2 linked regions of the Pelodiscus sinensis genome follow. The protein of the gene in region 2 binds, or shares a complex with, the protein of the main gene of each other region. Links are inferred from orthologs where the notes say so. Each region holds a gene or a part of one and is shown on either strand. Other genes may lie near its edges.

The links.
Region 1: CMC1 (region 2) and SMIM20 share a complex: the UniProt entries of both Homo sapiens proteins name them as parts of the MITRAC (mitochondrial translation regulation assembly intermediate of cytochrome c oxidase complex) complex. The link is inferred for Pelodiscus sinensis from reciprocal best matches to the Homo sapiens genes CMC1 and SMIM20.

Annotation. Positions count from the first base shown.
Region 1 is NC_134715.1:101,589,205-101,604,786, forward strand, and holds the start of SMIM20 (small integral membrane protein 20), read right to left. Parts: upstream 7,470-15,582; 5' UTR 7,395-7,469; coding exon 7,286-7,394; intron 1-7,285. Other genes in the region: SEL1L3 (protein sel-1 homolog 3), read left to right, coding at 10,357-10,419.
Region 2 is NC_134712.1:186,368,018-186,384,611, reverse strand, and holds the start of CMC1 (COX assembly mitochondrial protein homolog), read left to right. Parts: upstream 1-9,426; 5' UTR 9,427-9,466; coding exon 9,467-9,560; intron 9,561-16,594. UniProt on the Homo sapiens protein: Component of the MITRAC (mitochondrial translation regulation assembly intermediate of cytochrome c oxidase complex) complex, that regulates cytochrome c oxidase assembly.

The sequences.
Region 1 (15,582 bases), on a different chromosome or scaffold from region 2:
AGTCAACATGGTTTTTTTTAAAAGGAAATTATGCCTCACTAATCTATTAGAATTCTTTGAGAAGAGTCAAACGAACATGTGGACAAGGATGATCCAATCAGTACCATGCATTCAGATTTCAGAAAGCCTTTGACAAGGTCCCTAATCAAAAACTATCAAGTAAAGTAAGCAGTCATGTGATAAGAGGGAAGGTATTCTCATGGATCAGTAACTGAGTAAAAGATATAAAATAAAATCTAGGAATAAATGGTAAGTTTTCATACTGTAGAGAGGTACAGAAGGCCCCCCAAAAATCTGTGCTGTTGTATGTATTCGTTAGTGATCTGGAAAAGGGGGTGAACAGTAAGTGGCAAAATTTGCAAGTGACACAAAATTTCTCAAGATAGTTCAAAGCTGACTGCAAAGTGCCACAAAGGGATCTCACTAAATGGAGTAACTAGGCAACAAAATGGCACATGAAATTCAACACTCATAAGTGCAAGATAATGCACATTGGAAAAAATAATCCCAATTATACACACAAAATGGTAGGATCTGAATTATTTGTTATTACTCAAGAGTGATATTGGAGTCATTATAGACAGTCCTCTGAAAACATCTATTCAATGTGCAATGTTAGGCAAAAAAGCAAACAGAATGTTAGACACCACAAGAAAAGGGATAGATAATAAAATATAAAATACCATAATGTTAGTATATAAATGCACAGTACATCCACACCTTGAATAATGCCTGCAGATCTGGGCACCCTGCGCCCTCCCCCCCATTTAAAAAAATGATGTTAGAATTCTAAGTGGTACAGAAAAGGGCAACAAACATAATTAGGAGTATGTAACAACTTCTATATGAGATGAGATTAAAAGAAAGACTGGAACTGTCCAAATTAGAAAAGAGAATCATAAAAGGAAAATCTAATAAAGGTCTAAAAAATCATGAATGGTATGGAGAAAATGAATATGGAAGTGTTATTTATTCCTTAACATAAAACAATAACTAGAAATCACACAATTAAATTAATGGGCAGAAAGATTAAAACAAAAAGAAAGTACTTGTACTTCTTCACACAACACACAGTAAACCTATGGAACTCATTGCCATAGGTTGTTGAAAAGGACAAAAGTATAACTGGGTTCAAAAAAGAATCCAATATTTTTATGAATAGTCCATTAATGGCTATTCGTCCAAGTGGTCAGGATATAATTCCATGCTCCGTGTATTTCTAAACATCCATATGCAAGAAGCTGGACTGGACAATGGGATGGATCATGCAATAATTGCCTGTTCTCAGCATTCCCTCTGAAGTATCTGGCACTGGTCACTGATGGAAAGCAATATACTGGGCTAGATGGACCACTAGTCTGACCCAGGATAGTCATTTTTACAAAATGGGAGTGTGGTTTTATAATATTATAATGTATCTTATTATAGACTGGGCTAGTATAGTAGCACTGCACATTAAAGTTTCTGTTCTATTTCCCCATCAAAAACTGATCACTTTTCTCTATATCCTGTTCCTCTTTACAATGCAGTTTTAAATATAAACTGCACACACAACATAAGGGACATGTTTAAGGTGCAACGTCAAGCATTCAAAAGTTCAGAAATTCTAGAATTAAGGCACTTCCCAATAGAAAGAACCTCTTTGTAATGATGTTCAACGTTTAAATATCTGGATGGAAAATTTCTGTTGGTATCTGCCACAGCTTCACCCTCCCTCACTCAGAAGAGTGAGAGGGAGAGAAACTGAGACAGACAGGGAAGAGGAGACTGACATCTGTTGGCCAAAGAGACTAAAAATAGAAGCTAAAGAGCAAGAGAAGCAGGCTGGGACTAGAAGTGGAAATATTAGTAGGATCATCACATGAGGAGCAGGGAGATGGACTATATTAAAATGTATATGGACAAGGGGGAGTGAATTAACATTGAACAGGCAACCTTAATTCTAGCATTTCTGAACTTTTGAATGCTTGACTTTGTACCTTAAGCATGTTCCTTATAATGTTGTGTGTGCAATTTATATTTAAAACTGCAATGTAAAAAGGAACAGGATATAGAGAAAAATGATCAGTTTTTGATAGGAAATAGAACAGAAAATATCAGAGGGGTAGCCGTGTTAGCCTGAATCTGCAAAAGCGGCGAGGAGTCCTGTGGCACCTTATAGACTAACTGAAGTGTAGGAGCATAAGCTTTCGTGGGCAAAGATGCATGCATCTGACGAAGTGGGTCTTTGCCCACGAAAGCTTATGCTCCTACACTTCAGTTAGTCTATAAGGTGCCACAGGACTCCTCACCGCTAGAACAGAAAATGTATCTTTATGGGAAGCTTCAGTCTGAGTAAGTGCAGATTCTCAAACAGATCATAGGTTCTTACCAATCAGCATGACATTTAAACTGAAATAAAATGAAGGTCCCTCTGAAATTAATGTTACACTTTCCCTTCTATGATTCATAAATATTTTAAAATTCTTTTAATCAATGAATCACTATAAAATTTGTGTTAGAACAGAAATGTAAAATGTAGCAATCAGATCCTTTGTCGTCCATTATTAGTTGTCCCTTCTTAAAAATTAATATAAAATTTCTGTGCTTAAATTTGATCTATATTTTGCAACTTTTTTTCATCTAAGTTGTTATATGGCTCTTTGTGAATGTTGAAACAACAATCAACTCTGAAATCAACTGAAAGTTAGTTTATGCTCCCCCTGCTGGTTCTGCAACAGCAGAACACTTTTGACTTAGATAAGTCATGCATTAAAACAAATTGCTTTTTAAAAAATTGTTTATAGAATAGTTTAGCAGCAAGTTTAAAAATGATTTAAGAGACAAAGGAACAGTACATTAGAAAAGTACCATATTCTAAAAAATTAACTATAAAAAATAAAGAAGATAGATAATATAGTTTGACTAGCATTCAAGGAAATACTTACAATGTTCTAGTCACTCGAGTTAGCATAAATAGTAACTAAATTATCCCTTAAATTCACATTAAATAAAGATTATGTAGCATACTTATGGGAAGTTTTATGCACCTCTCAAGCTTCAAATACTCTCCTCTGTCTCATTCAAATCACTCCTTAAAACTCACTTCTACTGCAATATTATTCAGAATTGAGGGGGAGGAAGAAAAGATTTTTTTAAATAATACAGATTAAATAAAGCCTCCTCGGGACTGGTTCCTGGGGAGATGTGTGGGCTTGAAGTAATACAGATTTCAAGATATGTTCATGCCTCACAGGTAGGGATGTAAGGGAGTAGTCAACCAGTCGATTACCTGATAATCATAGGCTTATTAGGTAGTCCAGTCAACTACTTGCTCCCCTTCCTTGCTGCCTCTCCAGCCAGGCTCCATATAGCATTTCAATCTTTGAAACATACAAGAGTCGCTGCTGGGTCTCTTGTACATTTCAAAGGTGGAACAACAGGTGGCACTTCCGCCTTTGAAACGTAGCAACAGCCCAGTGGACTCTTGCTACATTTCAAAGCAGAAGTGCCCTTATTGATTAATCAAATAGTCAATGGAAATTCCAGTGACTATTTGATTAGTTGACTAATTAAAGCCGTCTCAGCGGGAGGCAGAGGCACAGCGGGAAATGGTGCGAGTGGGGACTGCTTCAGTTCCTGCTAGCACCGGTTCCTACTACAGGCGCTTCACATTTCAAAAGCAGAAGTACTGCAGGGAACACAGGATGAGCAGGGACTCAAGCAGTCCCCGCTTGCTCCATGCTCTCTGGTGCCCTCCTCTCCTCTCCTCCCTCCCCCCTGCTGCCTCTATGAAAAGCAGCAAGGGGGGGCAGGAATTGGTGCTGGGGGAAGGCAGCTTAAAAGCCAGTTCCTCCAGCACCGTCTCCAGGGTGCCATCTGCCCTCCCTCCCCCATCAGAGGCAGTGGGGGGGAGGGGAGGAAGATAGGGGATGAAGCTGTCCACAGGGGTCCCAGAGAGGAGCTGCCCCCGCCCTCTGCAGATGGGGCTGTTGCCACCAGGCAACCCCTATTCACGCTGGCCAGGACCAGGGGCTGGTGCTGGAGCACTCTCTGTTCACAGCAGCTAGTGCTGGTTACTGCAAACAGAGGCTGTTCTGGCACCAGCCCATTGGCGGCAGCCAGGGCTGGTCACGAACAGGGACTGCTGCCTGAGCAGCGTCTGCCCACAGCCAGACCTGGCCAACACAAACAAAGGTTGTTCTGGTACCAGCCCCTGTTTGCGGTGGACAGTACTGTCCACTGCACTCAGGGACTGCTGGACTCAGCGCAAGCCAGGACTGAGCAGTTCCAGCTCATGCTGATTGCTGCACTTCTGTATTTTAAATGTAGTAAGAGCCCAGCATTTAAAATGAAGAGCCATAGCACAGGTGGCTCTGGAGTGGGCATGAGCTAGGACTGCTCAGTCCTGGCTTGAGTCAGCTCCTCTGGAGCTACCCCTGCTGCGGCTCTGCAGAAGTGTTTATTGACAAATTGTATTGACTATATGATTAGCCAAATAATCGCATTTAACATCCTTATTCTGGACTAGAGAGGTTCAACCTGTACTAGCTTGTTTCTAGTAAGTTTGTTGCTCTCTGTGTCTATATATGTATATTCCAGACACCATGGGAGGCTCTCTAGCAAGCAAACTAGCAAGTGTTATAGATATGAAACCCACAATCACACTACAGTTTACAATATAAAAGATTTTTTTTTTAAATCACCATTCTACTGCTCAAGTAAAATGTCTTAAACAACAGTAATTCCAAGAGACCATACGTAGAATCATAGAAATGGAAAGGACCTTAAGATATCATCTAGTACAGTTCTCCTGCACTCATGGTAGGACTAAATATTATTTAGAATGGGGTGGAGAGCCTCAGGCCAGCCCGCAGCTTGCTCCCCCACTATCTCACCACAGGACTGGAGCACATAAAATCTAATAGCCTGGGCCCTTCTGGGTCTTAGGCTCTGATTTGCAAGAGGAATGTGGGGAGTGCCTTTTCCCCTTCTCAGTCAGGGATCAGGTGAGTGAGGGGTTTTTTTTTGTTTTGTTTTTGCCCCCAACTGATTATTCTGTGGATCAGCAGCCCCCTAAACCCAAAAGTTTCCCCACCCAAATCTAGACCATTAGGTGTTTGTCCAACCTGCTCTTAAAAATCTCCAATAATGGATATTCCACAACTCCCTAGGCAATTGGTTTCAGTGGTTAACTACCCTAACAGGAAGTTTTTCGTAACGTCCAACATACACCTTCCTTGATGCAATTTAAGCCCATTGCTTTTTGTCCTTCTCTCAGAGATTAAGCAGAACTATTTTTCTCCCCCTCTCTCTGTAACAACTTATGTTGTTGAAAACGCTTATAATGCTCTCTCACGTCTTTTCTTTTACAGACAAAATAAACCCAATTTTTTCCAATCTTTGCTCATAGGTCATGTTTTCTAGACCTTTAATCATTTTTGTTTGCTCTTCTCTGAACTTTCTCCAATTTTCCACATCTCTCCTCAAATGTGGTGCTCAGAACTGAGCACTTGAAACCTAAGCAGCACAGAGTAGAGTGGAAGAATTACTTCTCACGTCTTGTTGAAAACATTCTTATTAATACATCTCAGAAATATATATATTTATTTTTATTGCAACAAACAGTGTCACACTGTTGATTTATACATATCTTGTGGTCCACTATGACCCCCAGATACCTTTCTACACTACTCCTTCCTAGGTAATCATTTTCCATTTTGTATGTGCGCAACTGATTCTTCCTTCCTAAGTAGAGAACTTTGTATTTGTCCTTATTGAATTTCATCCTATTTATTTCAGACCATTTCTTCAATTTGTCCAGATAATTTTGAATTTTAATCCTATTTCTCAAAGTCCTCCCAACTTGGTATCATCTGCAAATTTTACAAGTGTACTCACTATGCCATTATCTATACAATGGATAAAGGTAATGTACAGAACCAGTCTTACACCTGATTCCTGTGGGATCCTACTCGTTATGGCCTTCCAACATCACTCCACCAATAACTATTCTCTGGGAATGGTTTTCCAGCCAGTTTTTCACCCACCTTACATAGTAACTCCATATAAGCTGTATGTCTCTAGTTTTTTTATGAGAAGGCCATGAGAGACAATATCAAAAGCTTTATTGAAGTCACATCAACCACTTCAGTATGCAGCATGGAGAGAATTATTTGGGGGTGATGATGCTAGGATTAGTGATACAAGTAGGGATGTTAAAGTGTACCCAGTTAGCCATTTAATTGATAAATGGATTCTTATTGGTGTCAGTTGCGCTCAGTTCTCCAGGGAGGCAGCTTTGCTGTGAAAAGGCAGCAAAGTCTCCTCTCCAGAAGCCAGGCCGGCAAGGGCTACCCACTCTGATCCTGGGGAGAAAGATTCGGTGCCACAGCAAAGCCCCCACACCTCCCCAGGAGCCAGACCTGGGGAGGCTTTGCTGTGGGCCCTCCAGTATAAAGCTAAGCTTTACATTGCAGAGTCCACAGCAGGTGTAACCATGTAACCACTGAGATTTTCAGAAGTTACGCAGCTATCTTATTACACGATTTTCAACATCCCTAGTGCTAAAACCAGATCTATATTACACTTGGAAGGCTGGCTTAATTACAACTACATAAATACAATTACAGCAACATAAATAATGGAGCTGGAGTCGATGTACCTTAAGCCGAGCTATCTCCATAGCAGGAAGTCAACGGGAGCAAATGCTCCCGTCAACTTCCCTTACTCCTCGTGAATCAAGGAGTAGCAGTGGTGACCGGACAGTGCCCTCATAATTTAATTGAGCAGGTCTTTAGTAGTCCCTCTAAACCAAACACCAGAAGATGAATCTCTGGCCCATAAGTATAGTCAGATGAAGAACAGGGTTGCACCCATTAAAGCTCACAATACCATCTACATGTTTCGTTCGTCTTTAAAATGCTATCAGACTATTCGTTGTTTTTAAGGATGTAAAATCCCGTTTAAAAGGTACCTGGTTAACCGGCGCGGGCAGGAGGCTGGTTTACTGGTTACCCCTTTGTACCCAAGTAATGACTAGGCGAGTCAGGGAGGAATCACTGAGCAAACGAAGCGCTGTCTGCAGGGCAGGGAGCAGCACAGAGAGGGGGCGTGAGGGCGAGGCCCAGGGATTACACAGGGAGGGGAGCTCGGTGGCGGATACACCACGGGGAGGCTGCTCCCTGGGGCCCGTGGCACGGCCGGGAGGGCGGGGACAGGGAGCTGGGCGCCTGGAGCGAGGGTGAGGGGCGCTGCGCGGAGAGCGGCGCGGGGCTCACGCCAGGCTCGGCGGGGCCGTACTCACTATATTGGTCCACCTGCCGCAGCGGCCGGAAGTAGATGGGGTAAAACGCCGCCCCCACTACGGCCACGAACCCGCCGAAGATGAGCAGCGTGCGGGAGTGTCGCCCCATAGCTAGGCAAGGCGAGGGGCAGACCTCCACCCTCTGACCTCTCACCTTCGACTGCAGTTTACCCGCTTCCGCTTCCGGGGCAAGTGCAGGCGCCACTGAGAAGCTAAGCCCCGCCCCTTCCCGAAGTCTCCCGCTTCCTCGCTGTGGCAGCCCCGCCCCCCACTTCTGCAGGCGCCTCGGGGCGCGTCCCCCGCTGCGTCCTAGAGGCGGGCTGCGAGCTCCGGGGGGCGGGGCTCGTCACCTCGCTTCAGTGCGGCCTGTGCCGGGATGGGGGCTCCTTGGCGGGGCTATGGCAGCAGCGGGGGCCTCACGCGTCTCCAAGGCCGCGACGTGCGCCGGGCTTTGCACTCCAGTGGTAGCGATGGGGCTGGTGCAGAAGCCCCGTCGGATGCACAGACAGACAGACAGACAGGAACTGGGGGGGAGAGGGGTGCAGTCAGCTGAGCGCAATAGAACAGCTGTTCAACACCATTTGACAGCCCGTGACGTGAATGATAATATACCCCATGGAAACCACTCATACATTCTGACTCCAATCTTTTCGTAGTTCCACCATCACCGTGCCTGTGCCTTCAGACACAGTAGAACAAGCAAACTAAGTTCGTGAGCTTTGTATTACATTTTTATCTCTCCAAAGATGCCAAAGTGGCTTTTTTGCAGATAACCAGCCCGATACTGCTTGTCCCGGAATCCAGTTCCTTGGGTACTTTGAATGTAACCTGTGCAAAGAAAGAAATTACTTGTAAGAGCACTATCAATCATTTTCTGCCAGGAAGATTTATTTGAGAAAAGGTTATGTTCTGCTTTTTTATATGTATAACAAATATCAATTAAGGTTGTCAGTCTTTGCTGGTTTTGCTGGAGGTCTTCTTGGACATACCAGATAAGGATAAGAGATTTCTTAGTTTTTAACAGAAGGCAAGATAATGTTCAATATTTTACAGCTTTTTCTGCCCTGCGTGATAAGGTGTTAGAGTTGTATATATTTCAAAAACTGAATAATAAAAGTCATTGTCCCTTTAATCAACTTTCACTTGAATGGTGACTCATAAATCTACAATTTTAGGATAAGCACATTGGACACAATCTGAATCTTTAATGTAAAAAGTAGGTTTTCCAATGCTCTTAGAAGGAAAAATAAACCCAAAACTTTTCAGGCTTTTATTTTGCATCATAAAAATGGAAAATAATGGTATACACTAAATTTTCAGTTTTGGATATTAAAAAGGACTAGTATTTGTAGTATGAGAAGACGGCATATTTGTCAACCTAAAGGCTGTGTCCTTTCCAGACAGATACAAGTGTTTTCAATGACAGAACTTGTACATAGTACAATACTTCAGATGTTGGGAAGTAGTATTTGCCAAATCCTGTTGGTAATGAAGCTGGTGGGAATTTGATGGGGAGCAGAATAAGGGTCATATCCTGTAAGGCTAAAATTCAACAGAGAGTAAAGGAACCTCGTGTAGCCCTACATACCACCTGCATTAAGGGCTCCACATATCTGTAAGAGATCTGTCAAAGCATATTGATTAGGACCAAGGCCTTAGTCCCGGGAGGGCAGGAAGCCTACAAGTCTTTCTATGGGTGTACATAAATGACAGATAATATTGAACTTCATCATCTAATGCAGCTCTTAATTACAATGTTTCAGGAACATATATTAAACAATAATTTTATCTCTATTATTAAATTGGCACAGTCATGCCATATGTTTAAGTTTGAAAGTATAAGTAAATAGTACAATTTATGTGAGTTGTTCATGGTAGCTACTATGCCTTCCTATGTGTGTGGACAGTTCCTAACTTCCTATAGGCTCTAGCATAATGCAGATAATATAATAGTAATAACATGTACCAAGGATTTCAGACCATGCAATGTCTTTTTATTGTAATTTCTATAATTCTGAGGTTATTATTAATAACTAATACAATTACAAGGTGCACTTTTCTAGAGATGTGACAAATGTTCTCAGAGCTCTTTACTGGCATTCCTATTTGACTGATGGCTTCCTGAGGAAGTCATCATGGGAAGTCTATTAAGGCAAAAAAATCCAGGAAACCTAAAGACAGGCATAAGATTATGGGAACTGTTAGATGGATCAAGCTCCCAGGTTCAGCTAATCCAGTATCTGACAGAGGCCGGGGTGTGTATCTACATCGGGACCAAAGGCTTCAGAACGAAATGCAAGAACTCCCACGGCAACAGCTTTGAAATAATCTGTTTCACGTAGGTCCCATCGTGGGCTCTAACAGCAATTGGTTAAACTTTAAATCCTGAAGCATGAGAATTAATAGCTCTTCTGTAATGTTACACACTAGCAGGGCTACCCCTCTGAGATTTCTGTGATGTGTTAGCACAAATCATTGTAACTCTTGGTCCATGTAAATGCATGAGCCCTTCTATCAGAGGCTCAGAGCACCTGCAAACTAAGGTATTTTTAATTCTCTCCCTTTCTCCCACTCCCCCATCCCGAGAGCGGCAGTTGGAGGAGAAACAATACACACAATTCACACTATACACAGGCCAGCGTGTCAGGCAGTGCTGGGCAGTCCCAGCAGCATCCACAGACTCAGATAAATAGCTCTAGGGGCGAGCAAAACGAGCGGGTTGTCCCCCTCCACACCGTTACACCCAGGGGAAGGTCAACGAGACTGAGGGAGGGAACAAAGGAGGAGCAGGTGCGCCTGGCGTCCCCAGCTCGGCTCGTCCTTTCGTGCTGCACCTGCCCAGCGAGACTCCAGCCCCGCCCGGGCGGAGCCTCCTCCCCCCGCAGCGGCTGAGCTCCAGGAAGCAGGATCTGCCTAGTCCCCGTGGCCGGATTCCCCCGGCGGCCGCGCGCTCTGGCTGCCCTGAGCCGGCACCGACCTGCAGCAGCAAGTGCCGCTCTGGGCCTCGACCCGCCGCGTGCCGGCCCCGCGTCGCCCATGGGAGCAGCCGGCGCCTGAGCCCCATCGGAACCATGTGGCGCCCAGCGGAGCCCCGGCCAGTGCCCCGTGGGGGCCTCCTTCTGCTCTGGCTGCTGGTGAGCCCGCCTCCCCCACTCCCCGCACACCTGCTGCCGCGCCGCTGCGGGGCTGGCCGGGACCTACTGCCGGGGGCTCTGGGCTGGGCTGGGCTGCCAGCCCCTTTGCCCCGCAGCAGGCACTTCTGTCGCTGCCAGCCCCGGAAGCTGGGCAGGAGCCCGCTGTGCTCTCCGGTATCCTCTCTCCCTCCCTTCGCATCACACCCCTCGCACTCCCAGTACTCCCCCAGCTTCTATCACACTTCTCTCCATGCACCCCCTAGCACAGTCCCTAGTCACCCTCTACACCACCCCAGCACACTCCAATGACCCCCCAGCAATGCTCACCCCCTACACCACCCCAGCGCACTCCAATGCTCCCCCAGCAAGCCCCCATATACTCCTCCATCCACTCCAGCACACCCACAGTTACAGCTCTCCAGCTGTCCCAGTATACTCCTCCACCTACCTCAACACACTCCCAATACCCTGTCCCAATACACACGCTATCCAACACAACACATTCCCTATGCACTCTTCCTTTCCTATACACCTCTCCTTCCACCCCACATTGCTAATACAGCCACATCCTTCTGCACTTCTCCATCCACCCCAGCATACATCCAATATGCATACCTCTGTCCACCTCAATACACTCTTAGTATACTCCACCAAACCAGTTCATACTTCCTTCTGTGAACTCCGACACAGTTCCAGTACATTTATCTTTCCATCCACCCCCAACCCATTACCAATGCTCTCCTGCACCCCAGTACACCCCTCTATCCACTCCAACATACTCCCAGTACAATCCCAAACATATCTCCAGTAAATTTGCCACACCCATATCCCTAATGAATGCCCTTTCTCCAATGCACAAAAATCCTGGTTCTACTCTGACATCTCTTCATTATTCTGCCCCACTACCACACACCTCTTGCTCCTTTATAATCCTTCTCTTTCTTCCCTTTTTTTCTGCTGCCCCAAAATACACATCTGTTCCCTTAAGAGCCTTTTCCCCTGTGCCTACCCAACTGCACCCTCTCCTGTCAACACACCACCCTCCTGCCAACCCTCATCAAAACATACTCTGATTTCTATTCCCAGGGATGATGATGATGACTTCCCCTGCCACCTCTTCCAATTTTTTCTAATACTGATTTAAAAAAAAACCAGAATATTTTAGTTTTCAACTGACAGTATTTTAAACAAAGTATTAGCTTATTTACAGAATTAAATGTATATATCTAGAATCTAGAAAATTATATTTTTATCATTTGCACAGTAATTTATACACTTACTTGTCACTTTTTCACAGATCTATATTTCAGCCATCAAGCATAAAAAAGTTACAAATCTAGATCGCATATTAAAAGCACTTAAGGACCATTCTTGTCCAGGGTCCTGGACTCCTACTCATGATCAATCATTATTAAAAAGAAGAATCCAATTATTTTCCATAGGGCTATATTCACTTCAATCCTAGGAATAGAGGGTTGGGAGGGACCTCTAGAATTCATCATGTCCAGTCCCCTGCACAAAAGCAGAATCAAGTAAAATCAGACTATCCATGACAGGTGCGTGTTCAACCTGTTCATAAAAAACCTCCAGAAATGGGGATTCTTCAGCTTCCCTTAGAAGACCACGTCAGAGCGTAACTATCCTTATAGCTTGAAAGTTTTTGGTACTACATAATCTTTAAATCTCCTTTGCTGAAGATTGATGCCATTACTTCGTGTCCTACCTTCAGTGGACATGAAGAACAATTGATCACAATCCTCTTTGTAACAACCCTTAATATATTTGAAGACTGTTACCATTCTCAAGACTACATAGGCACAGTTGTTTTAACCTTTCCTTGTAAGTCCACATCTTCTATTGGCCACCCACCCAATAGTAATATGATAACATTTAACTAGTTTTCTTATGAGAGGGTCATGTAGGACTGTGTCAAAAGCTTCACTAATATCAAGCTATATCTTGTCTCCATTAGACCAGTGATTCTGACAAAGACAGAAATGAGATTGGTTTGACATGATTTGTTCTTGACAAATACATTTTGGCTATTTCTTGTAACCCTGTTATGCTCTAGGTGCTTATAAAGTGACTGTTTAATAATTTGTTCAGGTGTCTTTCCAAGTATCAAAGTTAGGTTGACTGTTCTGTAATCCCCAAATCCTCTTTGTTCCTCTTTTTAAAGATAGGTCCTATGTTTGCCCTTGTCCAGCCCTCTGGGACGTCATCCTGTTCTTTAGGATTTTTTGAGATAATTACTAATGGTTCTGAGATTGCTTCAGTGAGTTCTTTAACTATCTTAGGATGGATCTCATTAAGCCCTGCCAATTTTGAATACATTTATCTGAATATTCTTCAACCTGTACTCATATTTTGATGAAGGATAGTGTGTGAGATTAAGAGTTGAAGAGTTGTGAGTCATTAATCTGGTAATTTATACCTAATGAAGACTAACTACCCTGGGCAAGATTTTCACAAGATTTTCAGCGCTTCACAATCAAGCCCACATTTTCAAAGGAGTTCAGTGCTATAAAACCTGGCCATAAACATTAATCTGGAAGCCAAGATGCTGTATCCTGAATGTTTTTGGAAAACTGGCTTTATGTAGGTGCTTAAATGGGAGTTTTCCAAATCTGGCCCCAGTTGTTGGTTCTGAACATCTGACCTACTGCTTTGTAAAAGAACTTGGCTTCAGATTTCTAAATTATTGTGCCCTTCAACAGGCAACATACATAACTCTTATTGACACCATTTTAAAATTATTATTACATGTAGCTATTTTTTGTATGCATAAAAGGAGGGGGGAACTTCTCTTCTTGGTTTCTTATCTGATTGTCAAAATGTATCTTGAGAATGTTACATGTTTGCTGCCTGTGCTACCCCTACAGAAAAGACTGTGTTTATCTCTGCTGCCTACTCCTAAATCAGGTTTTAGATTACCATCTTTGCCTCTTACAACAACAGTTACAAATTATAAAGTGGGAAATGTCACATTGCCTGTTAACTCTGTAGTGATATTAATCTTAAAAATGTGACCTTTTAAAAGAGGATCCTCATTTTGGCCAGACATATTTATCTCCTCTTATACAAACTTAGGAGTTGTTCACTATTTCTTTTTGCAGTTATTTTCAAACTTTTTTTCCTCATACGCAGGAGGCAGGGGCGGATATAGGGCACGGTGAACGGGGCGGCCGCCCTGGGCTCTGCGCTTAAAAAAGCCCCGCGCATGCGCTGTGGCGCTACCGCGCATGCGCATGGCGTCACGGCGCATGCGCCATGGCAAAGGGGGGGCCCCGCAGAGTTATGATGCCCGGGGCCCCGCAAAACAGTCATCTGCCCTTGCCAGGAGGCATAAGGGATCTGTCGAAAAAGGCTTTCTTTCTCAACAGATCCCCCTCTAGACTGCTGCGTTTTGCTGACAAAGTGCTGAGTCGGCAAAAACGTTGGCCATTTTTATGCAAATTAAGCACGGGATATTTAAATCCCTGCTTCATTTGCAATGTCGACCTGCCTAATCTACATCGCTCTGCCGACAGAGGGATGCAGTCTAGACATACCCTCTGTGACCCAGGACTGGGTCGCATCCCATGCTTTGAAAACCACTTTCTTAGTGTACATTATTGATTTAGGAAACAATGAGTGATAACATTAATGTGATAAGTTTTGTGCAGTAAGTGCCATTAAAAACTCAACCTTTTCCATTCCTGAGGGATTGTGGTATTGTGGATTCTCCTCTTTTACAAGTAACTTATTATCCTTATTGCCAATACCTAGGTGGTAGTAAATAATGAGCTTTTAATGGCACCCACAATTTAAATCAGCATAATTTTAGGACTCTGCTTTTACTCTCTTGGCCTCTCACTGAAGTCACTGGGGATTGTTTTGCTTTTGATATAGAATGAGCCCTTTGTGCTCATATTGGATCATTTGCACGCATCTTAAAATTCAGCATGACCCAATAGAGAACAGTGGGCCATGTTCAGATCTTGTGTAAACAGATACAGTTTCACTGAGGTCAGTGGAGTTTCTCCAGAGCTGAATTTGATCCAAGAATATTAAGAACCCCCCCCCCCAACAACTTGTTCGTTATCCTCAGCCTTTTTTCTTTTTGTTGCCTAGTATCAGTGATGTTTCATAGGTTAAAAGTCCACTTTCTCACCCATCACAGGTGAATATGGGTCTTCCCCTGAAATCTGGGTTGTGATAGAACTGTTGCAGTAAAAATCAGTGAAGTCTAACTGCCCCTCAAATTAAGAAAAATACTATAACCCTTATGGATGTGAAAATAACTATGTGAATCCATTATAAATTAATGCAGTGTTGCCATTCTGACTCTGTGGAGAGTTAGACTGTTAAATTAGCAGGACACTGTTCTGTTTTACTATTTCTGTGCCAAACCACGTGCATAATAGTGAAATTGTCAAGAATTTTGCCACTTAATAGTGCCTGTCTTGAGGTTTACATAACCCCCTTGCTGGCCTGGTAACCAGAGGTAATGCAGCAACTCCCAAGCAGCTCTGATTGACAGCCTCACAGCAGCTGGGAGAATAAAAGACCAGAGATGCAAAGGGATTGGGTGGCTGCCTGAGGAGCAAACAGGCTAAAGAAGAAAAATCATTCCAGCAAACTGGTGAGAAATTACCCAGAGACAATCCCACAAAGAAAGGATGATCAGAACCATAGGCATAAGAAGCCCACAGAACCAAAAAAAGTAGGAAGAAGCTCAGTGAGGAGAACTGTGTATTGATTCTGCCTGCCTGGTTTAAGGGCTAGGAATGAGAATCAGTGTAGTGTGTTGGTTTGGAGACTCAAATACCAAAAGGGGCTCCCAGCCCGGATGAGGCCCAAGTCCAGAAAAATCCCACCAGCTATAAAGGGAAACCTCTACACCCCAGAGGGACAGAAACTAAACACTTCATAGTCCAGAAGAGGACAATCACAGACACTCAGGCGATAAGGGCTGAATCACTGTCCTGCTGGACTAAGCAGATTGAGACTGACCAAAGCAGGAGGCTGATACATTAGTGCACTAACCCACACATGGAACTAAAGTTCGCTCTTTGCCTAACGTAACCCTGCCACTGATATACAAACTCTTGACAATGCCTAAGAGGGAGGAAACACTCAATAATAGAGCGGAAGGCCTCTGCTTTGAATGATCAAGCAATG
Region 2 (16,594 bases):
TAAGCATGGAATATTGCTGAGCCTCATTTGCATACATAATGAGCCACCATTTTTGCAGAAGAGGCTCTTGCGCAAGAAGGAGCTGTCTACACGGCCCCTTCTTGCGCAAGAAAAACCCTCTTGCGCAATGCCGTTATTCCTGAAAATAATCAGTGTAGTGGCATTGCGCAAGAGGGTTTTTCTTGCGCAAGAAGGGGAAGTGTATACAGCTTCTTCTTGCGCAAGAGCCTCTTCCACAAAAATGGCGGCTCATTATATATGCAAATGAGGCTCACCGATATTCCACGCTTAGCCTCATTTGCATAGCTCTGGTGCAAGATCGCGCCAGTGTAGACATAGCCTTTTTGTTTCTTTTAGTTTCTGCTGGTCTCTCCTCCGTCTATTGGTTTTCCAACAGAAACGAGCAATCAGTGGACCAATAGACAGTATAATGTACGTGCCAGCTAGAATAGAAAGATTACCACTAGTGAACAGTTGACAATTATCACCACTAACAAGAGAGTTCCAATGTGAGCCACCTTGCCATATGATTCAAAAATACCTACAAGGTATTTGCTGGGAAGTTAGATGTGATAATTCTGAAATCGAACATTAGAATATTATCTTATATAACTTTCACCTACCTGAGGTGATTGTTGTTTATATTCAGAATATAATCATTAAAACACATCCCATTGTCATTTCCAAAAATATGTGGATGCTATCAGCAAGGAGTTTTAAGCACCGCTTATCTTGTGTTTATTAGAAAAAGACCTTCACTAAAGCAATCATGTTTTTGTCAATCACACAAATGTCTTTTAACTAATACGTCTATCAGAAAATATTGTGAATGCTGAAAAAATAATCACATTTCAGTTAACTTTCATGTTTTAGTGAGGCATCTCAATGGACTCAATTAAAAGCTTCCTCACAAGTCTCATTATGTGAATGATCATTGGTTCTCATATGGGTTTCTCCATAAGTGAGATTTTATCAAACACAGGTAGTGCTGAAACTTTTTACCATCATCTTTATCTGGTTTATCAGAAGTTGGCAACTGTTGTTTGACCTACTTAACTTAGAGAGCAATCCACTTATCATGCTCTAGTTTTTGTATTGCTACTTGAGTAATACAAAACTGGTGACATGTTAAAGCATTGGGTAAGCTATAACTTAACCAGCGTAAAGCCTTTTAGTGACATGGTTATCTATAAGCATGGTTTGTGGATTCACACAATATAGTTAATAATTAATTATAGCACCTAATCATGTTTCTTCCTTGCTAGAAGCACCGGCTGGCATGTGGTAGATTATGGCAGTTGAGCACTCTCACTTTTGGTAGGTAGATGTGACCATTTAACCATGCCTGTGTACATAATGTGGCTATCCACCAAACTTTAGGGCATTCACCTGTCTCCTATCCAAACTAATATTTTGGTCTGTCTTTCTGATATCAACTTAAGGATACCAAGGTGTGTGTTTACACTTAAAAATAGAGCTTTTATTCTTTTCCTTCTAAGCAAGGTAAGGATTTGGTTGTGCTAGGACAATGGGATTTGCTTTGAATAAGATTGTTTTTCATAAAACGCAAAAGGAGGGGTCTGCTAGCAGACACAGTTATCCTACAGAATGATCACTGGGGGGCAGACACACTGGTAGAAAAGTAGGCAGCTGGGGGAGGTGCTCTGGATGTTGGTGGCCACCGTACACAAGTAAGGTTCCCATACAGGTGAGTTACCAGTCAGGCAGCATGGCCTCCTTGGCCCCATGGATCTGGCACCTGCCCCACTTCCATGGCCAGCCCCAGAGAACTGGCACCCAGAAAGCATGGCCTGCGCCACCCCTGCAAGTCCCAGGGATCTGGTACCTGGCCAGCATGGCCCCCAACACCCTGTATTGGCCAGTCCCAGGGAGTTGCTGCTCAGGTAGTGTGACTCTGCCACCCCAGGGGTTGGCCAACCTCCTGCCCTGAGCTCCCACACTCCTAACTCCCCTGACCTGACTCCAGCACTCCCCAGCCCCTACCAAGCCACTCCAACTCTGACTCCTAAGCCCCCATACTTCCACCCTCCTGCCCTGATCCCTTCCTCACCCTCAAGACTGACTTCTGCATACCCCCCACACCCAGCACAGAGCCTCTCCTCACCCCCCCATCTATGAGTTCAGCACCACCCCACATCCTCAAACAATTGCTTTGACTTCTGCACCCCCCACACTCCCTGCCCCATCCTGAGCCTCTCCTTAATGACCTAAGCCAGTGGTCCCCAACATGGTGCCCGCAGGCACCATGGTACCCACCGGGGCATTTATGTGCATCCGCTGAATCATCTGGGTTGGCCCAGCACACGGCATATGCGCGGAGCAAGCCCTGGGCACAGAGCGCATGGGCGGCCCCTGCCCTGGGCGTGCGGCACACGCGTGGTGCCGACCCTGGGCGCAGGGGTGGCCCCTGCCCCAGGCACGCAGCATATGTGCGGTGCCGGCCCCGGGTGCATGGCACATGCACGGTGCCGGCCCCAGGCGCGCGGCGTGTGCACAGCTCCGCCCCCGCTCCTAAGCAATGCCCTGCTCCTAAGCAATGCTGGGAAATGTGCTAGTGTTATACTATATAACAACTTACTCTTCCACATTTCAGTCTCTAAGGCTATGTCTACACTACACTGTTCTTCTGGAAAAAGCTACGCAAATTGCGAACCACAATTTGCGTAGCTTTTTCCACTTCTTTTTTCAGAATAGGCTTTTCTGACATTTGGCCTATCTACACTGGGCCAAACGAAGGAAAAAAACCCTTTTTCAGAACATCCCTTCTTATTTGCAAAACAAAGTTTACAGGGATGCCAAAAAAGCGTATCTGCTCAGAAAAACTGTAGTGTAGATATAGCCTAAAAGTTAACATACTTTCAGTAACTAAAGAGCAGTTTTAGACACTAGTAAGGTCCCTTTCAGCCCTACAATTCTATCATTCTAACTGTATGAGGACATCACTTGTTTTGTGTGGGTACTCCCAGTGTCAATACCATTCACCATTCAAAAAACTATGGGCTATCGCAAAGATACTCTTAAAAGGCATTCTGGACCAAACTCAGCCCATAAAAGGGAGAGTTTGAATAACTCTCTATACTTCTTTAATAATCTATGTTTGAGCTTTCTTCAAGGCTGTTAATGAAAATTGTCAACAAGTATTTTAATATTTGTCCACCTGCAAACCCTTATACACCAATCCCGCTCTGCAGCTTGAGCACCAGGCAGGTGGGCTGAGCTGTTTGACCCTACTCCCCAGCAGAAGTGTTGGATGGGCAGGCAGAACAGGACAATCACTGTAGCTGGAGTAGAGCCAGGGCCATGGGGGTAAGCCTGGATGTAAAATTTACACCCCTGGCTATGCCCCTCCCATATGACTGGAAGAAAATTCCTTCAAATATGCAGATGGTCCACCTTCAAATCCTTAAAACTAACCTATGCTATAATGCCTACAAAACAGTGGTTATGACCACTACTTGTAAGATGACTCTTGATATCTGTTTCCTTGTTATCTGTGCATCTACCGCTCAGCATACCCTTCAATTGTAAACTCACTCATACTTTTTCTTTTCATTGTGACACCAGTGCTTAGTACGGTGGGACAATACCACGTTAGTCCAGCTACTAAATAGTAAGTAAGAGGATGCTCTCTAGCCTTTGTAGTCTGGTGCAGTGTATCTCAACCTTTTTTTTTTTTTTTATAAAGTACCCCTTTAAAAAAACATACCCCCCAGTACCTACAGTTCTCAAACACACAACATTTTTTTCTATCGTTGCAACACATTTGTCTAAACAACTTAATCATAGCTGGGTGGGCAATGACATTTTTGGGTGTAAAAAGTACAAAAATAATAAAATGCTGTGAAACTTAAAACAAAAATTCTGTTTTCTCCAATTTTCAGTTGTTTTGACGTACTCCCCAGACTTCTCTTGAGTACCCGTGGTTGAGAAACACTGCCATAGACTAGCCTAGTACATGAGTTTGAGGTTATCGCTTAAACTGTCGTAAGTGATAACAGATAAACATACTTCTGTAACTCTTGCAAGTTGGCTTCTCCCTATCGCCACCCTCACCAAAGCATCATTGCTGAATTATTGTACTGAAGTACAGACGGGGCGCTGAAGCTAGGGTTGCCAGGTGTCCGGTATTGTACCGGACAGTCGGGTATTTGCATGCTCTGTCCAGTAAAAAAAAACAAAAAATACCAGACATGTGCAATGTCCGGTATTTTCTGATTTATCCGGCTGCACATCGGACAGAAGCATGGCGTGGGCAGGGGGAACGGCTGGGAGTCCGAGCTGGGAGGCGGGGCAGTGATTGCTGCTTGGAGCCCTCTATTGGTTGAGTGTGAGGAGGAGAGGAAGCCTCCTCCTCGCTCCTGCGTCACAGGGAGCCTGCGCCAGACAGGCAGCAAGTGCTCAGGTCAGTCCCACTCCTCGTGGGCCAATTTGCTCACCCCCCCTTCCTGGCCGGCCAGTTCTCCCCCATTTCCCCTCCTGATCTCCCCTGGCCAGCCTTCCTGCACCACCCCCCAGCTCTGCTTCCTGCCGGCCTGTTCCTCTTCCTTATTTCCCCTGGCCAGCACTGCTGCACCTCTCCTCTTGCTCCCCCCACCCGACTGCACCCCTCCCCCCCCAGCCAGCTACGCTTCCCCTTCTTCCCGGCCACCCTCCTGGCCCCTGATCCCCCCCAGCTATGCTGCCAGCCCCCCCTTACTTCTGACCAGCCCCGCCCCCTTCTGGCTGGTCCCTCCTCCCCCGATATCCCGTGGCCAGCCCCATTCCACCCAACTCCCCCCCCACGACCAGCGCTGCTTCTCGTTCCCCCCCATCTTCCCCTGGCCAGTCCCATTGCCACCCCCCCCCCACTCCTGGCCAGCATCACTCTCTTCCTGGCCGGACCCTTCCCCTCCCAATGAAGTGTGTTCTGGGTTTTTTTTTAAATGATTACCTGGTAACCGCTACCAGTGATCCAGGTTCTCGGAAGTTGTGTGTGTGTGTGTGTGTGTGTGTGTGTGTGTGTGTGTGTGTGTGCTGGTTTTTTGGGTTTTTTTCCTCAACAACTTTGGTCCCCCTCCCGCCCTTTTTTTCCTTCAACAAATTTTTTTCCCGGTGGGTTTTTTTTTTTTTTTTTTTGAGGGGGGCGGTGTTCGGTATTTTTCTTTCAGCCCTCTGGCAACCCCAGCTGAGGCAGAGAGCAAAAGTGGCTTGTCCAGGCCAGGCAGTGAACTGGTGTCGACAGCGGGATCACCACCAAGCTCCCCAGCCTGGCGTGACTCCGCGAGCCGCTTCGTGCCCCCGGACACACGGAGGCGATAAGTCCTTAGTACTGCAGTGGTTCGGACCAGGCGGGCTCCCTAAGGATTTGGGACCAACCGCCCGCCTCACAACAGCACACGACCCCACAACCGCTGCAAGGCCGCGCGGTTGGTTGCCAGCGCATGCGCTCTTCTGGCGTGGCGCGCACGCGCTCTCTGCCCCGCCTCTCTTCCCTCCGCTAGGGCGCGTGCTTCTCCGCCCTGTCCACGTGCCCGCCGGGTCGCCCCATCTGCGCGGGCAAGCGCGCGCCGCCCGCTTCCGCGTTCTGCCCTTGGGAGCACTTTGGCGGTCTGCGCCTGCGCCGCGGGCGTGGACCTGTCTTGGGAGTGGCTATGTGCTAGTGGCGGCTGCGGTAGCGAGGATCCCCGCATGGAGCCTTCTCCGGGCCCAGCAGGTAGGGGCGGACCCCCCCTCCCCCCCGCGCGTGCGTGACTCCTGCAGCGGGGGGGGGGGGGGCAGGAACAGCAGCGCCCGCTGCTGCCGCCGCCTCCTGGTGCCGCGCTCTCACCGCCCCGGGAAAGCCCCGCGCGCCTCGGGGGTCGGTGGTGGGAGGGGAACGTGCAGGCAGGTTGGCTTGCGGTGCTGCCAGCTGGCGTTAAAGGTCACGCTGCAGGGCGCGCTGGGGAGCGAAAGTAACCCTGCTGTTTGCCTGCCTTGGGGCCAAGTGGGCCAAGCTGAGTGCTAGGATGAGCTTGGTTCTGCCGGCGGGTTGGATGTTACCTTTGGCCCTGGCTATACGAGCCCTGCGATACTCAGCCTGTTCTAGAGCAGGATCCTCTCTCCTCATCTTAGGAAAGTGGGGAAGGCAACATGGCCATTATTTCTTGGTACCAGCCAGTGACTTTCACTTGCTATCGCCAGCAGCAACAACGGGTCAAGTCTTAAGATAGACAAGGTGCTGGCAGCTGCCTGACTCTTAACTCTGTGCTGTGCAAACCAGTTTTGGGCAGGGTTCAATGACCGTGTTACTGAATTATCAGCATGTAGTCTATATTAGCATTCCTTTTGCTCCCACCAGAGGCCGTAGTATTGGGGAATGTGAAGAGGAACCTATAAGCTGTATTTACATTAGAACGAAGTGCTTGCCTACACAGACAAATTGTGTTGATACAAGTTAAGTGTTGTATTTAAACCTATATTATATTTAAAAAACCTCCACGTGGATGCTATTATTCTGGCATAAGAGGGTCTTTTCCCAGTTTGTTTCTTGGAAAGGAAAGATAAACAAGCTTTTTTTATACTGGAATACTATATACACAGCTTTATTTCAATATAGTTATATTGGTTTAACTATATATAAAGCCATGTTTATAATAGGAGTGTTTTACCATATGTGTACAAACATTTGCATGTACATGCTCCATACTAGTGGTGTGCAATCACAATTTTCATTGTCTTCATTTTAAAAGTTGTGTGCCCTTGTTTCACATACATTGACTATACCAGTGAAGCTGAGCCAACAACAATGCTTAAACATGGGTGTTGTTACCAATTTTCTAAAACATTATCTATTGCCAGTGTATGATCAAAGCTATTTTTTCAGAGCATTACTCTACCAAACACTGCCACTAGTTAGAAGAGTACAGGCAGTCCCCGGGGTTACATGGATCTGACTTGCATCGAATCCCTACTTACAAACGGGGTGAGGCAACCCCGCACTAGCTGCTTCCCCCCAGCAGACCAGGGAGACGCGGAGCGGCTTTTCTCAGCAGACACCTCAGCTTGAGACTAAAGGATTGAGAGAAGTGAGGTGTGGGAGAATAAAACTGAGCTCTGGAGAAATGTTTGGCTAGAGTTTCCCCTACAATATGTACCAGTTCCGACTTACATACAAATTCAACTTAAGAACAAACCTACAGTCCCTATCTTGTATGTAACCCGGGGTCTGCCTGTACAGCAATTTTTATAACATTCTTAAAATGTGTTTACACAGTAGGGATGTTAAATATCAGTTAATTGAATAGTTGATTAACCTCGTGAATTCTTATCAGTTACTCGATTATTCTATAGTTCCCGGGGGCGGGTGGGGGGGGGGGGGCAGGAAGGGGACTAGCAGCCAGTGTGCTCCGGTCCCACTCCCAAAGAGCCCCCTGCTTGGGGTGCTCGGCAGGAGCCAATCCACAAGGGGAGCCCGTTTAAAAACCAGTTCCCCTCATGGGCCAGGTGCCTGTCACCCCCACTGCTGCCTCTGATGCAACTCCTGTCTGGGGGGTGGGCCTGAGCTTCTGGATCAGGTGCATGCCAAAACTGAGCCGGGCTGTCTACCCACCTGGCTCTTAATACACTGTAAATGCAGAGCTGCAGCAAAAGTAGGTTCTGGACCTGGCGTGAGTCAGGACTGAGCCGGGCTGCTGACCAGACGGCTAAAAAATTAACAGGCAATGTGGAGGAATGCATGTAGTTTATAGCATTAACCTATAAGCTTTTGCTTGTTGGTTAATTGGTTAATTGACTACACTATTACATCCCTATTACCAGAGCTTTCTGCTAAGTTTAAACTTTATAAGTATGTATATACCTAAAGCAGGGCATTGGAACTCAGACGTCTAGCATCGACAAGACCTTGGGGCTTTTCTACACAGGAAATTTTTGCCAATAAGCTAGGCCTCCATTGCAGACTTCTCCCAGCACAGCAGGGCAAGGTGTGACAAGATGTGATTACTAACCAACATGGGTGCTGAAAAACTAGCTATACCAGCAATGCTACACTTTTATCCGTATCGCTTATTTCACTTATTTGGGGCCTTACCATACCAGTACTAGGGACATAAAAGGTTAACCCAGAAGACCCTCTGCAGCAGCTCCCTAGAGGGCCTGGCCACCCTCTTCCCCTGCCATAACACCTGGCCGCAGGTTACGGGCTGACTCACTGGGAGCTGCTGCAGAGCCTGCAGCAAAGCTTCCCTGGGAACAGGGCTGGCAGCAGAGCCTTCTCCCCAGGAGTGGGGCCATCAGCAGCCCCTGCTGTTCCTGCACCCAGGAAGGCGGCTTTGCTATGGCAGCAATTCTTCCTCCCAAGGGTGCCAGCCCTGCTCCTTGGGAGGCTACACAGCAGGCTCTGCAGTATAAAGCTTATTTAAGCTTTATACTGCAGGGCCCACAGCTGTGTAACCAGTAACCACTTTGATTTTTAGCGGTTACACCGTTACATTTTTAACTGTGTTTTTACATCCCGTGTGTGTTTGTGTATACCAGCATACTTGACTAGCAAAGCACAGCTAAAATAGTAAATGAACACTTTGTACTGGTTAGGGATGTGAAAGCTTAACTGGTAATGCTTACCGGGTGCAGGGAGCTGCTCCAGCCCCTCGGGGCTCACCATGGGCAGGGGCTGCTCCAGCTTCCTGGAGAAATCTCTGTTGATGGCACCCCGTTCCCCACTGCAGGTTACACGCTGACTCCCTGGGAGTGGGGCCAGCTGCTTTTCTGTGGCAGAGAAGCCGCCTCCCTGGGAGTGGAACTGGCAGGGACTGGCAATCCTGCTGCCAGGGAGGCTTCGTTGCAGGCTATGCAGTGTAAAGCTTATTTATTAATCTAACAGTGCTTAACATTGCTTGTTCTTTGCATTCATCAGTAATAAAAAACTGCATTTTATCTGTTTTTATTCTGCAGTTACACTGATTGGATGGCAATGAACATACTTTTGAACTTCCCAGGATGCATTTGGGAAATTGTTATGCAGTATGAGGCAACCCTTGGGTTAATCTGTCACGCAATGTTCCTCTCTGAAACTGCCACAACTTATGAACGAGTTACGTACCAAGCACTTGGTCATAACTCGATCTGTTCGTAAGTCGGATTACATTCACTTACGTATGGCCGCGCTGTTCATAAGTGCAGCTTTCGTTCGTAACTCAGATATCGGCTGTATAGGAGGCTGATCGTAAATACAAATGGTCGTAAGTCGATGCATTTGTAACTCAGGGACCGGCTGTATTTTGTTTTCTACAGGTTGGACCTCTCTGGTCTGTCATCCTTGGGATCTGACTGGTCCCGGACCAGGGGTGGTCCCTCCCCTAATGGTCCATGCTAAACTGCTGTTCCCCTTCCCCTGCTGCTTTCCCCATTGCTCCCTGACAAACCCTCACTCCCTGAGCTAGAGCTCTCCAGCTCCCATTCTCCCAGCTTCTGCCAGGGCCGGAGCTGCATGGCTGTGGTGCGAACTTCTTGGCTGCAGTTGGGGCTGGAGCTACATGGCTGGGGCTGGAGCTTCACAGACTACCCCCCCACAAGACTTCTGGGTGAGTCTCTCTCTCCTGCTTCACTTCCCCCCTCCCCCCATGTTACTGGCTCGTGGCCAGACCTCCTTACTCCTGGAATCTGTGGTCCAGGAACATCTGTAGTCCTGCCAGACCACGGATGTTGCTGGATCTGAAAGTCCTGGCTAAGGGAGGTACAACCTGTAGTGTATCGGTTTTCATTTTTTAAAATGAAACTCAGGCTTTGTCTGATTGCTCTGCAGTTTGGATTACTATAAAAGTGTTAATAGCAGCAGGTTGAAATGCTGCCACAGAACTCCCCTGTGTAGACCCTACGAGTGTGAACTGCTTTGCATTAATATGGTTCAGTTTGAAGAGGACTGTGCTAATGTAAACTAGGAACTCTAGTTTTGATCACATGGGGAAGTTACAGCACAACACTTTGATCTACACTGCTATTCACTCCCCACTAGTCCTAATTGGGGGACAGTGTAGGCAAGCATGTAGTTGCTGTTTGTTATGTTGAGAAAAAAACATCAAAATGTTAACTAGGTGCAGCTAGAATAGAGATATCTGTGTCAGTTTGAAAAGAGACTGGAGCAATAGCTGAGAAGTGTGAACTGCCCCATTCATTTCAGTGTGTTTACTCAGATCCTAGTGTGGTACTTAAATGTCAACATAGTTAACTATTTAATTTTGCATGTAAGGAGAGGAATAATCGCATGTCTGTACAATGTTTCCATGAGTCATGTCTCATTTTAGTGCCACAAGAAGTGAGGTGATGGTGGGCTACCAATATCACTACATACTATTTTCACCCATTAAAAAGAAAACCAAGTCCAGCTTGCCCAACAGAGCCCGTGGATGTACGGGAGCCCCTCTGAAGAGGAGAAAAGCTCTAGGAGCCTTTGAAGTAGGAATAAGAGATCCTCCAGAATAGGGCTTTATTCCGGAGGATCGGGCCAGTCTAGATGCTCTTTTCCGGCTTTTCTACAAGCTGGAAAAAAGCGGCGGATATCTTTATTTAAATCCCGCGGGGGATATTTAAATCCCCTGCAGATTTCCCTATTACGAAGTTTAAAATTAGCATGCCCCTTTCGGAAAAGGGGCCAGTGTAGACGTAGCCCTAATGTATGAAGTTACGTACTTAGAATTTTTTCAGGGAAGGCTCTTGCCTTTCTTGATGGCTATGCTGCACTTCAGTATTATGTTCAGTTAAAAAGTCTTTTTAGGGACTCAGTTTCTCATTATACACTTACAAAATTTGAGGGCCAGCTGCACTATTCTACTATGTGAATGGTGTAGAGTCATGACACATTAAAAAGATAGTGGAGGAAAGGAAAGACATTTCAGTGTAAAGGCAGGAAAAGACAAGGAAGCTAAGAGTTAGAAGTTAAAGAGTAGAGAGTCAGGAATAGAACTGGAGAAATAGTTAAAGGATAATTCAAAATGGAAAGGAAAAAGAAGAGTGGTGCAAGAGATAATTCAACAAATAGCCTTTTTAATGGCTTTTCATTTTTATTTCGTTTCTGTTAAGTAGAATAGAGATTCGGCACAGAAAAGAAATTTTAGGAACAGTCCACTTTCAAGATGGAAAATTGGATAACAGCCTTTCTGTGTCTTGTTTATACCCTGGCCAAAGGACAGAGAAGTGTTTGATGGAATGTTCTGGAACTCCTCTGGGAAATAAGATATCAAATAAATAAATTATATAAGTACCTGGACAGAGAGTGAAGTAGTATGCAATGCAGTTTAAAAAGATTCTTCACAGATGAACATACTATAACCCCAGAGTTCTCACCCTTTTACATCTCAGGATCACCTATATAGCAATATGCGAAGAGCAGGAATACACAACTAAGTGTGTTTTGACCATTTAAACTGGTATTTAGAGTCCTGCACAGATACATATATGTGGATCCGCCTCCGCCAGGCTCATTCTGTTATCTGATCCGCAAGCTGGATTTTATCTTCATACACATCTGCAGGGTGGCAGCAGCAAGCTGTCTTTAGAGGGTAGGTGGGAGGAAGCACAAATGAGTGAGGAGGGGACAGGGTCTTGCAGGGAAGAGGGAGGCAGCATGGGAACAAGGACTCTGAGTAAGGAGCAGCATAAGGGCAGGATGAGGGTCTCAGGTAGAGGTGGGAATGGATTTGCATTGTGTGCTTTTGCTGCTGGGGTGGGGGGTGTTCATCAGCAATGGTACCTGGTAGCAGCAGCTTCTGTGAGATCACAGCAGGGCAGAGGGGTACAGAGTTGGGCCGTCGCCCGCCCCAGTCTCCATGGCAGAGGGTGGGCCGTGCTGCCCTGCAATTGGCCGAGCCTAGGGCACTGCACCCGCTTCCCCCCATAGCTCCAGCCCCACAGAGCTGGACCCTCCCCTCTCTGAACAGGGCAGCTTGCTGTTATGCTGAGAGTCTTCCTCCTCTCCCAGAAGTGAGCCACCTCCCCCATGCATGCTCCCAGCTGCACTAGATGACAGTACGGAACAGCAGTGTGGGGCAAGTGGGCCCCTGGTTCGCCACAGGTCACTGTTGATTGGGTGTGGGGGCAAGGCTGGTACTCAGCTTCTTGTGCAGGGAAATTTGGGAACCAGTTGGCACTCTCTCCTTGCTGGCAGCAGGGGGCCTACGCTGGCATCCTGCCTTAGCTGGACAGCCGGGTACAGTTGGAAGAGACCCCTGTGCAAGTATTGGTGCCATTATCTGTGAAAATGGTCCATGGATATCCGCATTTGCGGTTGTGAACCGGCTATCCAGAGCTCTAACTATAATACATATATATGTCAACTTACTGTCAGCCGCCTTGATTTTTTTGTTTTGGTGCAGCCTGGAACTGGCTATTCAAGGTGATTGTGCTGCAAAGCAAATAGAAAGCGGTGTGTAGATACAAGCAAAGTGAAGAGTGAATTAGTTAAGCACATAGTTAAGAGTTTCTCTTCTTAGACCTTAGTGCTGGTTCACAGCAGAAATGATAGGATCAGGTTCCTCTATACGCGCTTCCTTGCTCTTAATTTTTAAAATTTATGCACAGCACTCCTTATCTGGGCCTTGAAAGAATATACTGTAGGAGGATGCTCTCATTTAGCAGCATTTACCGGATCTTGAAAGAGAGAGATTTGTGATTAAATAATATTTTTTAAAAGAAAGCATCCTTGAAGATTTGGACTTAAATTGAAGAGTCTAGTCTAGCATTTTAGACAGGATTTCTTTACACAAAAAAGTATTTGTAAAATAGATTGAAAAGTCTTCAAGAAAAACCACCAAAAATAAATGGGATAAACCATAAATAATTACCGGTATATTAGTAAATAGGCACATAAACAGCACACTCAGTCGCTGATTGGAATTGTGTGGTGAAATCTAATCCAACAATACCCCATCTTACTCATATTTCTGATTTAGTTTTGATGCCATTAAATAGTTTGGCTTCCATTTCCTGCAAGTTTTTCTGCTTATCCAGATGTTGTTTATTTTTGTTTTCACTGGAGATGTTAATTTTATGCTACATTCTCATTTTACCCCATGAGCTTTGTTTGTTATAAACATATAGCATTTTTTAAAGAGTTAGTCACTGATTTAAAGGCTGTATTCCAAGTTGTCTGTTTGCTCCTAACAGGAATGGAAAATGAATGGCTTCATGTTTTATGTACACAAATTAATTCACATTACTTGCACACTTTTTTCCAATTATGCTGTCATACTTGGGACGTAGAGCAGCTCTCATATTTTCAGTTGCACTATCAAACCATCGTCTTACCTTTGGGGAGTTCTAAACACCATGTTCTGCCAAGAATTTTTCATCTAAGGGTGGTGATGAGCTAATAAATGCAACAGTAACTATATCAAGGGTATATTGGTAATAGGAATGTTACTCTTGGGACTGCTGTTCTGGCAAGAGAAGCTGAAGTGTTCAGGTTTGACTGGAGGAATGTTAAACAGTGTTGCACCTGGGACTTGATCTGCACTGATGCTGTCATTTTATTCCTGCTGTCGTATTTGTGTATATCTGCTGACTGTAATATCACCCATGTAGAGAGTGTGTCTGTGTCATACATAGAATACAAAATACGTTAACAGAATTTTAAGTCACAAAGACAAAAGTTAGCAAATGTCAGAATTAAGTGCCTGTGCTACCTTAGCTGTTAGCATTTGAGATTTATAGCTGTGTACTATTCTGTGGTCCTGCTGTCCAGCCTACCTGTCTGCTCCCTATCTCCACTCCTTATGGAGACAAGAAGAGCAGATGGGGGTCAAAGAGGCAGTGCGAGAATGGAATTACATGGTGGAGGCCTGCTCCAATACCAGATTCCTTACCAGTTTCCTGCCATATGTGCATCTGTTAGGCTGGATGGGTAGTCTTTTCCAGGCTGCTCATGCATACTTCAGCCAACCAGCTGACCCTCCATCACTTCTCCTTGGCCATCAGGAAGGAATCCTGGCCTGACAGACATGAGAAGCTCTGTGAGCCTAGGTCAGCTCTTGGTGAATCTGAGTAGTAACTATTATGTCATGGAGTAAGTGCTTGCAGGATGAGGCCCTTAATTATATCCTTACTATTAATAAGAAAATAGAGGATGGATTCAGCGCTGGCACTTTTCTACTCTGGATTAGGAGTTGTCTTCTGAGGAACTTCTTTGAAGTATGTTTCGCTATATTTGTTGTTAAGCAAATACCTGGCTATTTGAAACCCCCATAATTAACGAAAACATGGCATTTTGCATAATCTGCCTTTGTTTCATCCCAAGTATTATAGTATTGCTGAACTGATTTCTGACTTACTGCAGTGTAGCCATTGTGGATTTCTAGCTAACATGCTTGTCAGTATTCTTATAATCCAGTACTGCCATATTGCAAGAACACATGAGCCCCAAAGCAAAATGTAAGATAACAAATTCAGCCAGTGAAAAAGGTGAAAATTGACTTCGAGGTGATGATAGAATGGTGAGAAGTTAGAGCTTCGGAAATTTTCCCTGGTGTTGTCATCCTTGTACTCTATCTTAATTTGAATTGATGTGAATATAGGATAGAAAATCTCAAAATCTGTGGGGTTTAATACAAAGATATATGCTACCATAGGTTTTAAGAAAATCCTAAATATACTGCCGTATAGAGCAACTGCGCTAACCAGACTGTTGAAAATAGTTTTAGAATATCAGGGTTTTCATGTCAAATGTTCACTTTGTTTTTATATCCTTTAGCTAATAATCAAAATGTCATTAGTAAAGAGCAAGCAACTTAGGAGCCCAATCCTGCAAACATTTATACACAAGTGGGCCCTCTGAACTTCATAGGATCGCTCACATGTCTAAAATTGCTCACTTACGTGTTTGCAGAATCAGATCCTAAGATCCCATTTCTGCGATGGGCTCTTCACAGGTAAATGTCTGCATCCATTTGAGCTTCACCACCTTCAGTGGGACTCTGGGTGGCTCCTGTTCTTGCAGTATGACAGTACTGGATTATAAGAATACTGACAATGGGGAGCTCATGCTGGCACTCCAGCCTGTGTTGGTGGGGCGCACCAGTGCTGGCTCTACAATGCTGGGGTGGGGGAGCCTTGAGTCTTAGGAGCCAGATTCAGGCAAGCCATGTGCCAGAGCTGGTCCCTGGGCCATAGGTTCCCCACCCCATGGGAGAATTTCCTTTCACTTTTCCTCTTTGATACACCAGTAATGAGGACCAAAAATTCTAGCATAGACAGAGCAATATTTCTCTCTCATTTGTCTTTTATAGGAGCAAAGGAAAAGAAAGATGCAAGGTTATTTAAATAGCAGCCTGTAAAGCTAGTTCTAACTAAGAAGGCAACTGTTAATGGGGTGAAGTTCCAAAAAAAATACACCTCCAAAACACTGCCAGATGGAGGTTAATAAGCAAGGCAGAGGTAGGTTTGGTGGCCACCAGCAAGGTCCAGGGAATACAAGCTGATGAGTTGGTCTGATACAAACTATATAGCAGCCATAAAATGGGAGAGGGTATTTTCATTTATCAGAACGCTATTTTTGCAGGACCTTTACTGTCATAACAGTCTTTGGCTACGAGCATTTCTCTCATAAATGTGGAAGTACTCTTTGCTTTAGGTGTTGGCCAAAAAAAGAAGCAGGTTTTTTTGGGTCTCTTCCTCCTCAAGAGCCTCCTGACTATTGTAAAAGTCCCCTCTACAATATTCTTTTCTCCATAGCTTCCTGACTTCTGTGCAAAGGGCGAGTGGCAATATTACAGGTGCTCCATGTTTTTCAGTTCCATATGGTTTCTATGTTTTTCTAGACTTAAGTCCTGATACTCTGGTCCTTGTAGATGTATCTATTAGGGATGTTAAATTTTGATTAATCAGCTAATTGAGTAGTTAATGGAATTTCCATCGACGACGTGGTAAGTTGATGTGGGTGGAGGGGCTACTACATGTGGTTCTTACTTCATTTAAAAGGCAGAGGCGCAGCAGTGGGGTCCTGGCATGAGTGGGGACTGCTTCAGTTCCCACTTACGATGTTTTGACTGCTGCGCCTCTGCCGCCCCTGCCTCCCTGAGGAGATGAAGCTGGTTTCCCTCCCAGCATTGGCTCCTACTCCCCCATTTGCTGCCTCTGTATCAGAGGCAGCCAAGGGGGGAAGCGACTAGTCGAGTAGTAACTTGATTACCCGATAAAAGTAGGCTTATTGGGTAGTTGACTAATCGCTTATATCCCTCGTATCTATTTTCTTGGTTTCCCTGTTTTTAATAAAAATAATAAACTATTGTTAGGAATAGAATGTTTTGTAATGAACTTATTAGAATAGACAGAAATTTCAGTTTGAACAGTGAACATGAAGAACAGTGAGTCTATTTTTGTGGAAAGGTGTAACATTGTTGGAAATGGCAGAAGGCTTTGAGGACTTCACAGCATGGTTTGTGATTCTATCTTCAGACTTTCCCTCACAAAGTCCTGCATTTTGTACATGGTAGCTGTTCTTAGAAATAATTTGAGGCTGAGCTGGCTTTTTTTTTGGGTCTTTTGAGTAAACAAGGCTTAGAGAGAGAATCGCTTAGGGAGAGAGTGATGGAAGAGGCGAAAAAAGGGGAAATGAAGTGGCCTCAAA